3 linked regions of the Oryzias latipes genome follow. The protein of the gene in region 2 interacts with the protein of the main gene of each other region in a pairwise test. Links are inferred from orthologs where the notes say so. Each region holds a gene or a part of one and is shown on either strand. Other genes may lie near its edges.

Region 1 (4,004 bases), on a different chromosome or scaffold from region 2:
CACAGCATGGAGGAGCTTGGGCTGAGGACAAAAGAACAGAAAACTGAGTTGCAGATAAAGATGGGAATAAAAGTATTCATGAGATTACTTTTTACCTGTTTCTCAGTCTGCGAGGTGTAGTTTGGGTGGGTCAGCAAAATATCAATATCACCACTCGACGCTGCACCTGGAAACCATAAACAGTTACAAACGCCACCAACCAGTAAAGAAAATGACTAAAGACAGTAAAGATCACCTCTTCTGTAGCTTCCACATATTGTTCCAATATATTCTGGATCAATTTTCTCCAACTCAGCAATGATAAGAGCCTTAAAAACACAAGATGATGAAAAGCTTGACAAATACACGACACTTTCCAGCCCGGAAGTAGAAAACATAGAAGCAAAAGGAAAAACTACCTCCATTTGTTCCATTTCAGCTCTTGGGATCCTTTTCTCAAACTCTTCAAAGTACCTAAATGAAGCAGATTAGTCACTAAACAGTCATTTTTGAGTATTTGAATAAGTAAATGTCAAACCTTTACCTGAGTCCAATCTTTTGATGGTGGTTAAGTTTGTGCTCAACCTTTTTCAAATCTGCAAAAGAATAGGAACATACGGAAAATCAACATAATGCAAAACATTTTAGAATTTGCAACACATTCATACTGATGTCACATAATAGTAATGCACATAAGAGACTTTACAAACCATCTAATGTCTTCACCCCTTCTTCAAAAAACTTCCTGGCGGCAGCAGGGCTAAATAAAAAAGACACACTAATTATATGTTTTTTAAATCATATCTGCAGAACAGAAATAACTTTTTTAGCTTCTCTTGAAGGACCACTGTAAAGGTCAATAAAAACCATGTCATCCAACTATACGAATAACATTACCAACATACCCAATTCCAGTAACTCTAGTGAGGAAGTTGATGGAAGAGCTGGTATCATCATTTCGGATCTATCGAAAAACATAAATAAATCAGTTTGTGTGACAACATGGATTCTATCAGCACATCCTCTGCAGTATCAGTAAACTCTCACCTTTTCTAGTTTTCTTAGTTTGCCAGTTTGTAGAAATTCATCAATCTTTTCTGCTATTTTGGCACCAACACCATCCTGAATCATGAAAGAGGAATTGAATGTAAATACGTAGGCGGATGCTTCAGCATTTTCAGGAGTTATAGAAAATGTAAGTTAACAAAATAGTTTAGGTTCAGATAGAGCTCATAAAACACTTCTTAAAACATTAACACATTCTTAAGACAACAAAAAACAATTCGGAAAATTTCACATCAAATAGGAGATATTTTAAATATATATATATATATCAGCACATACCAGTTTTTTTGCTTCTTCTCCGTTCCTAATCTTGCTTGGGTATTTAGAAATGGTAGATGCTGCTTTCCTATTATGAATGAAAGAGGTAAAAAAAATAAGATTAAAAAAAAAATATCAACGCAGGTATTAAACTCTGACTGAAGAAGATAAGAAAATCGTGTTGCTGAGAAGTTGGTGGAGAAAATGGAGGACTAAGTACTTAAGGTCCACAGTCCAGAACAACAAAGAGTGTGGGAAAAGAGGCATGTGCAAGCGGGTTGCAACGGGTGGAGGAAGGTGTGTAGTGTAACAAAAGAAAGAACGAAAGGAAAGCCGCAGAAAACTGTGGTAAGAGCAGCCATGTTTTTGAATTAGAGAGAGTGGCTCTGATGTGACAGGAGGCAGAGCTTTGGGTAGCAGAGATGAAGATGCTGAGGTTCTCTTTGGGTGTGATGAGGATGGATGAGATAAGGAAAGGTGTGAGATGTTTTGAGGATAAATGCAGGGAAGCAGACTGAGATGATTTTGACACGCTCAAAGGAAGGACAGTGATAATGTTGATCAAAGGATGCTGAGGTTGGAGCTACAGGAAAGAGGAGGTTCATGGATGTTGTTGAGGAGAAGGTGGGTAGTGTGAGTGAGGAGGATGCAGAGGAGGTTTAGTGGATGGAGGCGGATGATTCGGTGCAGCGATACCAAGGGAGCAGCAAAGAGAGAAAGCAGAAGGAACCACAAAACACACACTCATCATGCAACACAAACAAAGCACAATGTTAGGTTCTCGGCTCTATGAAAGATTTAGTGAAAATTTCTGTATTTCACAGGAAGGATTCAAAGAGCATGGACATATTTAAATGTAAAAATTGTGAAAAGGGGATGTTTTGGGCAGACATCATTGCTATAGTAATTATTTTTAAAAACAACAACAATGGGGCTTACACTCCCTTACTCTCCCGAACATACCTGTAAGCATTGTACTTGTGTATTGCCCTGTTGACATTTTTCTCGTAGTTGGCCAACTCTGCAAACAGAAACCCATTAAGGCATTCTCCCACCTCTCATGATTTTCAAAACACCGATCCGCCCATTCATCAGCTTAACTCTGCTAGCTTAGAGTCGGCTTTATGTTTGAGTGATTTTATCATAGTCATTAAGTTTAAATATTGTACATCAAAGTAACCTTGATGCTTTCTAACTGACGAGAAAGAAACATAATCAACGGGGCCACTCTCAATAAAGCATAATTAGCAAGATATGTGGGTATTTATTTTTAAATGGAAAGGCTAGCTTCTGCTAGCAAACCTTAACTTCACTTACCGATGAGAAAGTCCGTTATTCCTTCGTTTGGAGATTCCTGTGGTGCTTTTCTTTTGCTCATAGTGGATGTAATTCACTATTGTAGTGTTTTAAAAAAAATTCCCAAGTAATATTTGCGTGCGAAAGCGATTACAAGCTGCAAGGTGTCAGTCAGTTTCTGACTACCACGTTAGCAAAAGTTAGCTTGCTCTGAACAATGAGACATGGTGGGGGCGGGGCTGCGCGTGCGCACTTCGTCAAAAAGGATTCAAGTGTATTTATGGTTAAATTGGGTATAATACATAAAAAGACAAAGACACTGGTTCTGTACAAAGTATTATTGGATAAGATTTAAGAAAGAAAAATATACATTTTCATTACTGACAGTTATGTGGCTACAATACATCAAATACAGCTCAAAAGCAAAATAAATAAATTACAAGCAGATACACAACTGTTTTTCAAGATACCATGTATACATTTTATAAAATAAAAAATGCATTCAAAGCAAATAAATCTAATGTACAACTTTTTTGGGTATATTTCCACAGCAGTATCTAAATTGTGTTGATTTTTAAGGATCCTATTCCACCCTTTCCTATATATCCTCTTTATATATCCTCTTCTTGAGATGTTAGGAATCAGTTTTGATATAAACTTTGTCCCTGGAGAATATCTTTATTGCCTCCTCAATTTCAGAAAGCCTGCAGTCAAGATGAGCCCGACGTGAGCGAGTACTCAGGTTGTCTGCTTTCAGAGGGAGTGAGTTTAATTCCATCACCAGGGTGCGATGAGCTGAGGAGGAAAAAGTATAATTAACCAAGGAACTATAAAGTCTCACACTATACGTGGTGTATTAAGTATCAAAATCAACTAAAGGTGAAGGTAAATACATACTATCTTTCAGAGATTTCAGTGTTTCCTGCCTTTCACTGTCCTGCATTAAGGTGTGACCAGGTGGGATTGTAGGATCGGGTGTGTTTCTTTTTCTCTCCTCCTCCTCTTTGCGCCACTGTGCTTTCCTTTCCTCAAGGCTGTAAGTGCAATGTTCAAAACGAAACATACTTTTAAGTTATTAATTAGATTATCAAAACTTTTTCCATCTCAGAGGGGATCGTGGATAAGTTAAAGCCTGTTAAGAAGGTCAATTTTCTTGTTGGAATACTTACTACTGCGGGACCTGTCCTTTGACTGCGCTGGGCACAGGTTTATCTCTGAGGTCTGTCAGTGACTGAGAACGGCGAGTCACAGTTTTTCCTGCGGCTCTGGCATTGTGTCTGATGAAGTTTATTGCCTGACCTTGCACCTTAGAAAGGGACAAAGAAAAGATCGAAGACATGGATCCAACACACCAGAGAGCTTTTTTCTTATAAAATGTGTTTTGAATGTTTATTTCTTCAGTTTTA
Region 2 (4,102 bases):
ATGGATACATGCTCTTCAAGAAGCCATGAAACAAGTTGTGGGGTTCCCCAAGGGTCGATTTTAGGTCCTATACTTTTTAACTTGTATATGTTGCCTCTTGGGTATTCACCAGGAGACACGGCGTTGACTTTCACAGCCACGCTGATGATACACAGCTTTACATCGCCATGTCACCTGATGACCTTGAACCTATAAACACTGTTTTAAATTGTCTTTTAGATATAAAATACCGATTATGAAAACTGAAAATGTAATAATTGGTTCTGAAGACAAGAGAGATGATTTTACCATATCTTCCGAATTTTAAACTTTCTCACTGTGTGAGAAACCTGGGTGTACTTTTTGACTCTGAGCTACATTTTATCCCACACATTAAAAATGTCGTTAGGACAGGATTTTATCATCTTAAAAATATTGCAAGAGTCCGCCCATTCCTCTCTATTGCCATCATAGACTTGCTGAAGCATGTATTAATTTTTTGTCGCAGCCGAACTCGTCAATGTCATTGAAGATCTTCTTTGCAGGGAAGATTTGCTAAAGGTCTGGGTGCTGTAAACAACTCACAAATAATGTCTTTTCTTCCTAACAATTCTCAAACACCATTTTACTGCTGCAGTGTTGCTCCTATTAAAAAAAAACACAGCTTGATGAGATCAGACAATTTGCTTAGTTTCGTTGCTTTTGTAGACTGTCTTGAGTTCATTCTGATTAAATAGGGCATATAGCTACTTTAGGCTTTCATCACAATTCAACAGTTTCCTTGGTCGGTTTTTGTTGCCTTTATAGCGCCTCTCTGCGTTCAACAGTGATATTGCATGCATTTTCTCCTGCAAAAACACTCATAAACACTTCCCCCCACTTTTTTGTTTACACAAACATTACAAGGATCAGTGTTGTACAAGCACTGTACTTTAGACATAAATAATAATTTGCCTTTTTTGGAGAGTGTTATTACATGAGATATATATTAAAAATAACTTTTCCTTTGCCATTCAATGATTTTAAGCCATGACTAATGGACCTTATGTTCCAAACATTTGTTTATAGAAATAGGAATAAATAAATAAAGACAGAAACATTTCCATATATTAAAGTATAAATCTTAGTATATAAATATTGAAGTCATTGTTGCATCAGATGCATGTACTCTGCAATTTTGCTTGACAAAAATAAATGTGCATACATGTAAACCTGGAGTTTATTATTATTATTATGACGTCAGAGTTATTGCCTGTGACACCCAGATTGCCTTTTATTACAATTCGAATAATAAAAATGAGATTCAAGTGTAGAATTGTCGCTTTGTAAACGGTTTCCTCCGTGTAAAAAATAATATTTGTTTATGTTGGTTGTCCCCGGCTGTGGATGGGCAGGCGCTGCGCCTTTAACGAGCCGTTGTCCCCGGTCTCTCGCACCCATCACCGTGTTGCTCTCCGTCTCTTCCCCATTTCGCTGCTTTGAATTTATTGTCGCTCTTTTGTATCATCATGGCTGCTCATTCTAGTGAAGAACCGTTCCCCTTCCACGGACTGCTCCCCAAGAAAGAGACCGGCGCCGCCTCCCATCTGTCCAGGTTCCCCGAATATGACGGGCGAGGGGTGCTCATCGCTATCCTCGACACCGGAGTGGATCCCGGTGCCCCCGGCATGCAGGTACACTTGACCGGCGGCTGCCTCGTGTTAGCTTAGATTTAGCAGCTGGAAGCTAAGAAAGCTAAAGGGCCGACGTAATTTCTACGCAGTCACCGTAAGACACAAGTGAACCCACATGCTAGCAGGAGCAAAAAACACAACAATAAATCTCTTTTTATTACATTTTATGATAGTCAGACTATTTAAATTAAAAGAAGAAATACTTTAAAGTTGGTAAAACCACCTGTCAATTTCTGTTAGTTCCTGGAATAGTAGAAAGCAAACTAGCATCACATTAGCGTGTACGGTAAATCACTTGCTAGCCAGGAAAGATACTCCATTTACTATTAACTTTTTAGAAATTGCTAAGCATATCAGCTAACTGTTGCGTTTTCTTATGAAAGCCTTAAACCGTGATGGCGAAATAACTGTCGGTGAATTAAACTGCTGTCACAATTTCAAAGCTAAAAACAGAACCCTGTAAACACGTTTACAAATATATAGGATAAAAGGTCACTAAAGTGGTTTGCAGCTACTAAGCTAGCTTTTTATTTGTAGCATTTACTAGCTTAAGCAAAATACTTGGTCCCATCAATCCGGTTAACAGAAACAGAAGATAAAACTAAATGAAACATTTGAACTGTCAATTCAGAGTGGAAGCTGTGCTAGTTTCTGGTGTTAGATTTCTAACAGCCAAAAGAAAAGTAAAACATACAAGACACAAAACGTATTTCTTTTCTACAGGTCATAATTTGAAAATTGTGTAAATATTAGTGTATTTTAAAATAGAAAAATAGCAATTTAACAACAAAACATTAATAAAAACATAAAAAAGGACATTTTCCAAGTAAAGACATCATTAAAAATAAGATATAAAGAAGACTGGCCAAAGAACAGATAGTTGAGCATACGTTTTAATGTATATATAGCTAATTATGTACTTTTATTGCCATATTTAAATAAAGAACTACACTTTTTTTTTCATTTGTCTTTACTAATAAAGATACAACTTTTCTGCTACCTTGACCTTAAAATAATTTCACCAACTGTTCACAAATAGAAAAAAAAACACCCTAAATTCATATGGGGCTAAATCAGTGTTCAGTCAAATCTCAATCTCTGTTCTGTACTGTTGACTGGTTTTCCCTTGTTTTCATTCTAAGATGACATATTTTTGTCTTCTTTTGTCACTGTGCTTTAGTGACTATAAACAGCTTCTTATAATTAACCTTACAGCTTCTGTCAGATCAGAATTATCCATCCATCTATTTTTATAACCTGCAATATCCCTTAGAGCTCACAAGGTTGCTGCAGCCCAGTTGTGGACAAACCAGGGCCCGGGGGTCATGTATGGCCTGGGCGCCAAACTGGAATAAATTATATTGATAATCTTTATAGAGGTTTTATTTTCCACTCATAAATGGTTCTCTGCAAATAAAGTAACCTTTGCTGAGATGTAGAAAGTTATTTGCTGTTTTTCTGATGTTTCTGACCATTCCAACTGCAGATGAACGCAGCATTTCTCTAATTTAGCATTTTCCCTGAGGGAGATCAATCCATCTGTGCAATTGGCTCGAAAATGAGAACAAAATCCAAAATGTTCAGTTTTAAAATATATAAACCCATTTTTAATCAGTTCAAGCAGGTTTTCATCAAGATTCCGTGTTATTATTTCTTCCTCTGATGAGGTGGACTACCAAAACGTCCCACACATCAGCTCCAGCTTCGTCAAATTTTAGAACCCTCTTTGGCCCACGAGTCTCAATCCAAAATACATTAAGAAAAGTTTGCTCACCCCTGCCATAGCCTGTCCTGGCTGCTGTTGGGTGAAGGCCGGGTAAATCATGGACTGTTGCAGGGCCAAACAATCACTCCCACACATGCACATGCAACATGCAAACATGTAAACTCCACACAAAGGACCCTGCCCGAAATTGAACCAGGGTTGTTTCTCTGTGTATAACTCTAAAATAAATCTATTTTTCAGCAGTACTATTTTTTATTTTTTTAAGGTCACAACTGAAGGGAAGCCAAAGATTGTGGACATCATCGATACCACAGGCAGTGGGGACGTGAACATGACTACGGTGGCAGAAGCCAAAGATGGGACAATCACTGGTCTGTCTGGTAGAATACTTAAGGTGGGTTGAGAAGTCTCTTGAAAGAAACAGAATTGATGGTTAAGAAAACAACAACAGCTACTTCTGAAATATTCTGCCTCATGTTAATGTCCTCCATCTGAAGACATGTGTGTTAACTGTAAGTCTCTTGCTGTGTTTTTTTTTACATCTTTCAGATTCCTCCAGCATGGGTCAATCCAACAGGGAAGTTTCGCATTGGAGTTAAAAATGGCTATGAATTCTTCCCCAAGGCTCTTAAAGAAAGGATACAGGTAGGAAGATGTGATTGTACTTTAGTGTTTTGTTATTTTTTTATGGGTAATTTAGCTTTTTTGGCTGTTTTGAATCCTA
Region 3 (4,329 bases), on a different chromosome or scaffold from region 2:
CAGTCTGTTGCAGGGCCACAATCACACACCCATGCACACTCACTTTCACACCTAGCGACAATTTAGAGTACCCACTTAACCTATCAAGCATGTTTTTGGACCCTGGGAGAAAGCCGGACTCCCCGGAGAAAACCCTCACATACATGGGGAGAACATGCTTACTCCACCCAGAAAGGTATGGTGTTCTGTTTCCAGTCCCCCAGCTGGGACTTGAGGAAACCTGCGCCACCGTGCAGTGGTTGAGCAACACTGGAGCCATCCAGCAGTTTGGATCCAGATTCCAGCTCAGACGAGGAAAACAAAGACGCACATGGATCTATTTGTCTATAAATGGATGCATCAAAATGGAGCGGAGCGGAGCAGGGAGCTTGTGGCTGCAGCACATTTTCTATGTAACAAATGATCTTTTTTTCCAACGCCTTTTTTTTTTTTATCTGCTTCTCATTCAAAATGATTTGAATAAAGAAATCCTCAGGAATGCTATTTTAAACTTCACTTTTTCATCAGAAAAATGGCACAAGAACATGTTAAAACACCATTTTCATCCTTTATATAAGGTGCAGTGTGCTGCATAGGGGTTTGCAGTGAACTTGCATGCAGCCTGGACTGTCTCAATGTTAAACCTGCTCACAGAAACAAACACTACGGCCTCCATGAAGCTTTGATGAAACACGGAAACATCCGGGAAAGACCGAGCCTTCAATTTGCATCCTCTTACAGTCTCTAGTGAGACAAAACAAAACTTGTCATGGTGGTTTGTGTGACACAATCTGTGTTTTTGATGCACACATGAAAACAGTTGATGTCTGCTGGCCTTGAAGGAAGAACAGAACGAGGGAGGGGGGGGTCTACTGCGAGGCGCGTTATGTGTAACGATTGGACTAGCTTCAAATAAATCCCCTAAAACTCTCAGTAATTCTGGCAAGAATTCTACAGCATAAAGAAAGGAGGGAGCAAGTTTCAGGGATAAAAGACACATTTAGAAAGAATCACAGGATATGAACCGAAGGAGCAAAAGGATGTGGAGGAAATGATGTGAAAGAGATCCGAGAGGATGAGGAAGGTGGAGGAAGAGGTGCTCAGTAGCAAATATAAATGTCAGAGTGCTCGGATTCTGTGTAAACAAGAGACAATTGGATCTTTGCGACATATGTTTGATTTATGTCCATGTTTAAACAGGCATAACTGTAAAGAAAGAACCTATTGAGAAGAAGGAGAGGACGGGGGAGTTTGAGAGTAAGGAATGTTTGAGGGAATGTCAGGGAGAAACTAAAAATGATCTTATCAGGTCAAATAAATCTAAAAAAAAAGCAGATTTGTTTTTTTTCCCCACTGAGAATTCAAGTTACACGAGTAACCCTTGAGGAAAGAAACATTTGATGCTGTTTTTATTGTGTCCAAAAGGCTTTTATTTGCTGTAAATGCTGACAGGAAGTTCTTTGTTTCTATCAGTCCAGAGGTCACAGATCTGATTTTTTCTTTAGAGGTTCTGCCAAATAGATTTGTGTGGAGAAGTGTGATTTTTAGAAATGATCCAACGACAAGAATCATTTAAATTAACCCTCTGTGCATCACAAAGTCCATGAATTAGTCTTAATCTGGATGACAAAACCTGCAAACCTGTTACCGTGCCTAGTGGTTAAATGTTATTTGTAAAAGGTACTTTGCCCAGATGCAGCATTACTTAAGAACAAGATTGAAGGAATTGTCTTTCAGACAGCCACAAATCAGTAAATGTCAGGAGATGACTGCCATATAGAGGCTCAATCAATTATTAATAGATGTTTACTGTTGGCAATAATCTCATAGTGGTGTTATGTGTGACATTTATGACAGAAGTCTATGAACTATCTTCTATTAAAAGTTGTTTTTAATTTAATAAAAAGACAGAAGATTAAAAAAATTAAATACTAATGGACATAAGATTATCTAAAAATGGTACCTAATGGTTTCCAATGCTCCCCGTGTTAAATGCATAGAAGATAAAATAAACACAGAATATTAAAGTTCGTTACTGAGCGCTGTTGTTTTTTCATTTGTTCGTGTGCCTCCAAAAATTATATTAGTACAAATTACTATAAAAATCAGTATAGATTAGTCAAGGGTTGGCCCTGAACTATGACCCGCAGTAAGTAACCGCAAGAAAAGTCCCCCACGCGCCCCTGATATGCCTCGCGCCAATTCCACGCAGTGATTGGGATACATTTATTCGTGTCTACGTGACACTTCCACGCGCTCGAAGTGAATTTATCCACTAGAAAGCGGCTTTAACAAAAATGACGTAAACTCCCGATTCCTGCCGTGCGAGCAGCAGATTAGCTAGCGGTCCACAGACAGACAGACAGCCTCGACAGGTGTTCAGCCCCGCAGGTAAGCGGTTCGTGTTAGTTACCTGGATTAGCTAACTGATGATGGAGAACACTTGTGGTTTTGTTTTTGGGTTCAAAATTTACAGAGGGAAAGTAATAAGACCACCTGTTGAGCTGAGTCGACTAATTTATGCTAGCGCTGCCATAACGTCCGGTTAGCTTACTTTTTGAGCTGCATCAACCTGTGACACAGAAACTCTGTCTCGCCTCGTATTAATGACCGTTTCGGGACGGACCGCCCCTGAAAGCGAGCAGTCGCACAACTCTGACCTGAAGCGACAGACCGGAGAGACAGGAAAGCTCACCTGCGGTGACCGGAGCTCCCGGGCAGGTCGGCGGCTCTGGAACGGAATCAGCGACTGTCCTCCGTTCCTACTCGAGCCAGCGCCTCCGGGGAAATGCTTCACCATAACAACCTGACCCGCGCTTACTCCTCCTTCTGCGCCGGCTCCACTAGAGGGCGACAAAGCAGAGCTTTTCAGCTGCTTCTTTACTTTTTTTAAAAAAAGTTTTGACTTCGAAATAAAAGACACACGTTTCTAATTTACTTTTAGCCTATGCTCGATAAAGCAATAAATTGAACGTCTTTTGAAAAATTTAATAATTAATTATTTGAGTGTGTCATATACTATAAGGTACCAATCAATTCTAATTATTTAAAGTTTGATGTATTTTTGTTGTCTCCTTTAGGTTGATTTCGTTTTGATTGCTTCAAATACGCAATTTTCTATTCATAACTCCGAAAACTGAGCTTTTATTAAGTTAATAATTATCTTTCTCCTTGTGTCTACAAAGTCCTTAGTTGTTCGTAAATGTATCTACCATTTTATCTTTTCTCCCTTAAGGCACCCCACATAAAATATTCAAATTTTCCCAAATCAATGGACATGTCTGCCTTTGCCAACATATATGCCCTCAGGAACATACATGCGTTTAAATATATGAGTGGAAAACAGTTTCTAGAACTATGAATGCAGAGCATTAAAACAAACATCCCAGACTTTAAAATAAAACAGGAATTGTTTCCCCTAAATAGAATAATGAAAGGTTCATGGGGAATTACTTATTTAAGTTACTGTGATAGATACTTAAATATAATGTTTTTTTTCCCAATGTTTGTATTTGCTTAAGAGCTTATTGTGTAGAAATTTGGAAAATACTTTAAAAAAAGTATTTTTCCCAGAAAGGCACTAACCTGGTATTGTTGTTTTTTCTTTTCAGATACTGATGATGCACTCTACGTGGTACATACTATCATGTACAGTAATGCTACACTACACACAAAAGATGGATATACACATTACAACAGATATTGAAAAATATATAAAATCAATAAAGCTATTTATGGTAGCAACTGTATCTTAAGTTTTAAAGATTTTTGTCTAATGCTTAAAATAGTGAAAGCAAAAATTCAAGTGAAATAAGGTTTGAGTCACATGTTTTTAGTGACTTTTAGTAAATGGAGTACCTTTTACCTTCACATAAGCACCATGTGATATTGACAAAAAAAAGTGTGAAAAAATTAAAGAAGTATTATTAAAAATCTTAAAGAAGTACAACAGGTTCTCATTATTAAAAATTATTTCAGATAAAAATGAAATGTCATTTTGAAGCCTTGAAAATCTGGTCTGTGTCATTTAGACAAACATTTCTTCAACATGGTTTTACTCTCTTGTTTTCTAAGGTCCATTTTTGTACGAGCACAAAGTCTTAAAACCCAATGAAACATGGAGGATTTTAACTCTTTTTCTTTTATACTTTATTTTAAACATGACAGTATCTCACTGCTTAAAAGAAAATGACCATGAATAGGTAAACATAACGTAACTCTGTGTCATGATTGTGACATCCAGTACCTCAGTTTGAAAGTACTTCAGTCAGGTTGAGGCAAATGCAAAGGGTGTGTTTGTGTACACAAGTGTGGTTGTTGTACATTTATGTACCGGTAGGAGGAACCTGT

The links.
Region 1: the proteins of tpp2 (region 2) and polb interact in binary tests that used the Homo sapiens proteins (3 or more experiments, as listed by UniProt). The two-hybrid records come from large-scale screens. The link is inferred for Oryzias latipes from reciprocal best matches to the Homo sapiens genes TPP2 and POLB.
Region 3: the proteins of tpp2 (region 2) and ppp1r16a interact in binary tests that used the Homo sapiens proteins (3 or more experiments, as listed by UniProt). The two-hybrid records come from large-scale screens. The link is inferred for Oryzias latipes from reciprocal best matches to the Homo sapiens genes TPP2 and PPP1R16A.

What each region holds. Positions count from the first base shown.
Region 1 is NC_019867.2:6,236,815-6,240,818, reverse strand, and holds the start of polb (DNA polymerase beta), read right to left. Parts: upstream 2,822-4,004; 5' UTR 2,681-2,821; coding exon 2,620-2,680; intron 2,324-2,619; coding exon 2,266-2,323; intron 1,391-2,265; coding exon 1,324-1,390; intron 1,102-1,323; coding exon 1,027-1,101; intron 944-1,026; coding exon 885-943; intron 740-884; coding exon 690-739; intron 576-689; coding exon 524-575; intron 454-523; coding exon 399-453; intron 309-398; coding exon 236-308; intron 167-235; coding exon 96-166; intron 22-95; coding exon 1-21. Other genes in the region: enkd1 (enkurin domain-containing protein 1), read right to left, coding at 3,233-3,393, 3,496-3,632, 3,768-3,904.
Region 2 is NC_019861.2:16,571,006-16,575,107, forward strand, and holds the start of tpp2 (tripeptidyl-peptidase 2), read left to right. Parts: upstream 1-1,289; 5' UTR 1,290-1,487; coding exon 1,488-1,652; intron 1,653-3,643; coding exon 3,644-3,772; intron 3,773-3,927; coding exon 3,928-4,023; intron 4,024-4,102. UniProt on the Homo sapiens protein: Cytosolic tripeptidyl-peptidase that releases N-terminal tripeptides from polypeptides and is a component of the proteolytic cascade acting downstream of the 26S proteasome in the ubiquitin-proteasome pathway.
Region 3 is NC_019878.2:14,900,627-14,904,955, forward strand, and holds the start of ppp1r16a (protein phosphatase 1 regulatory subunit 16A), read right to left. Parts: upstream 2,823-4,329; 5' UTR 2,675-2,822; intron 1-2,674. UniProt on the Homo sapiens protein: Inhibits protein phosphatase 1 activity toward phosphorylase, myosin light chain and myosin substrates.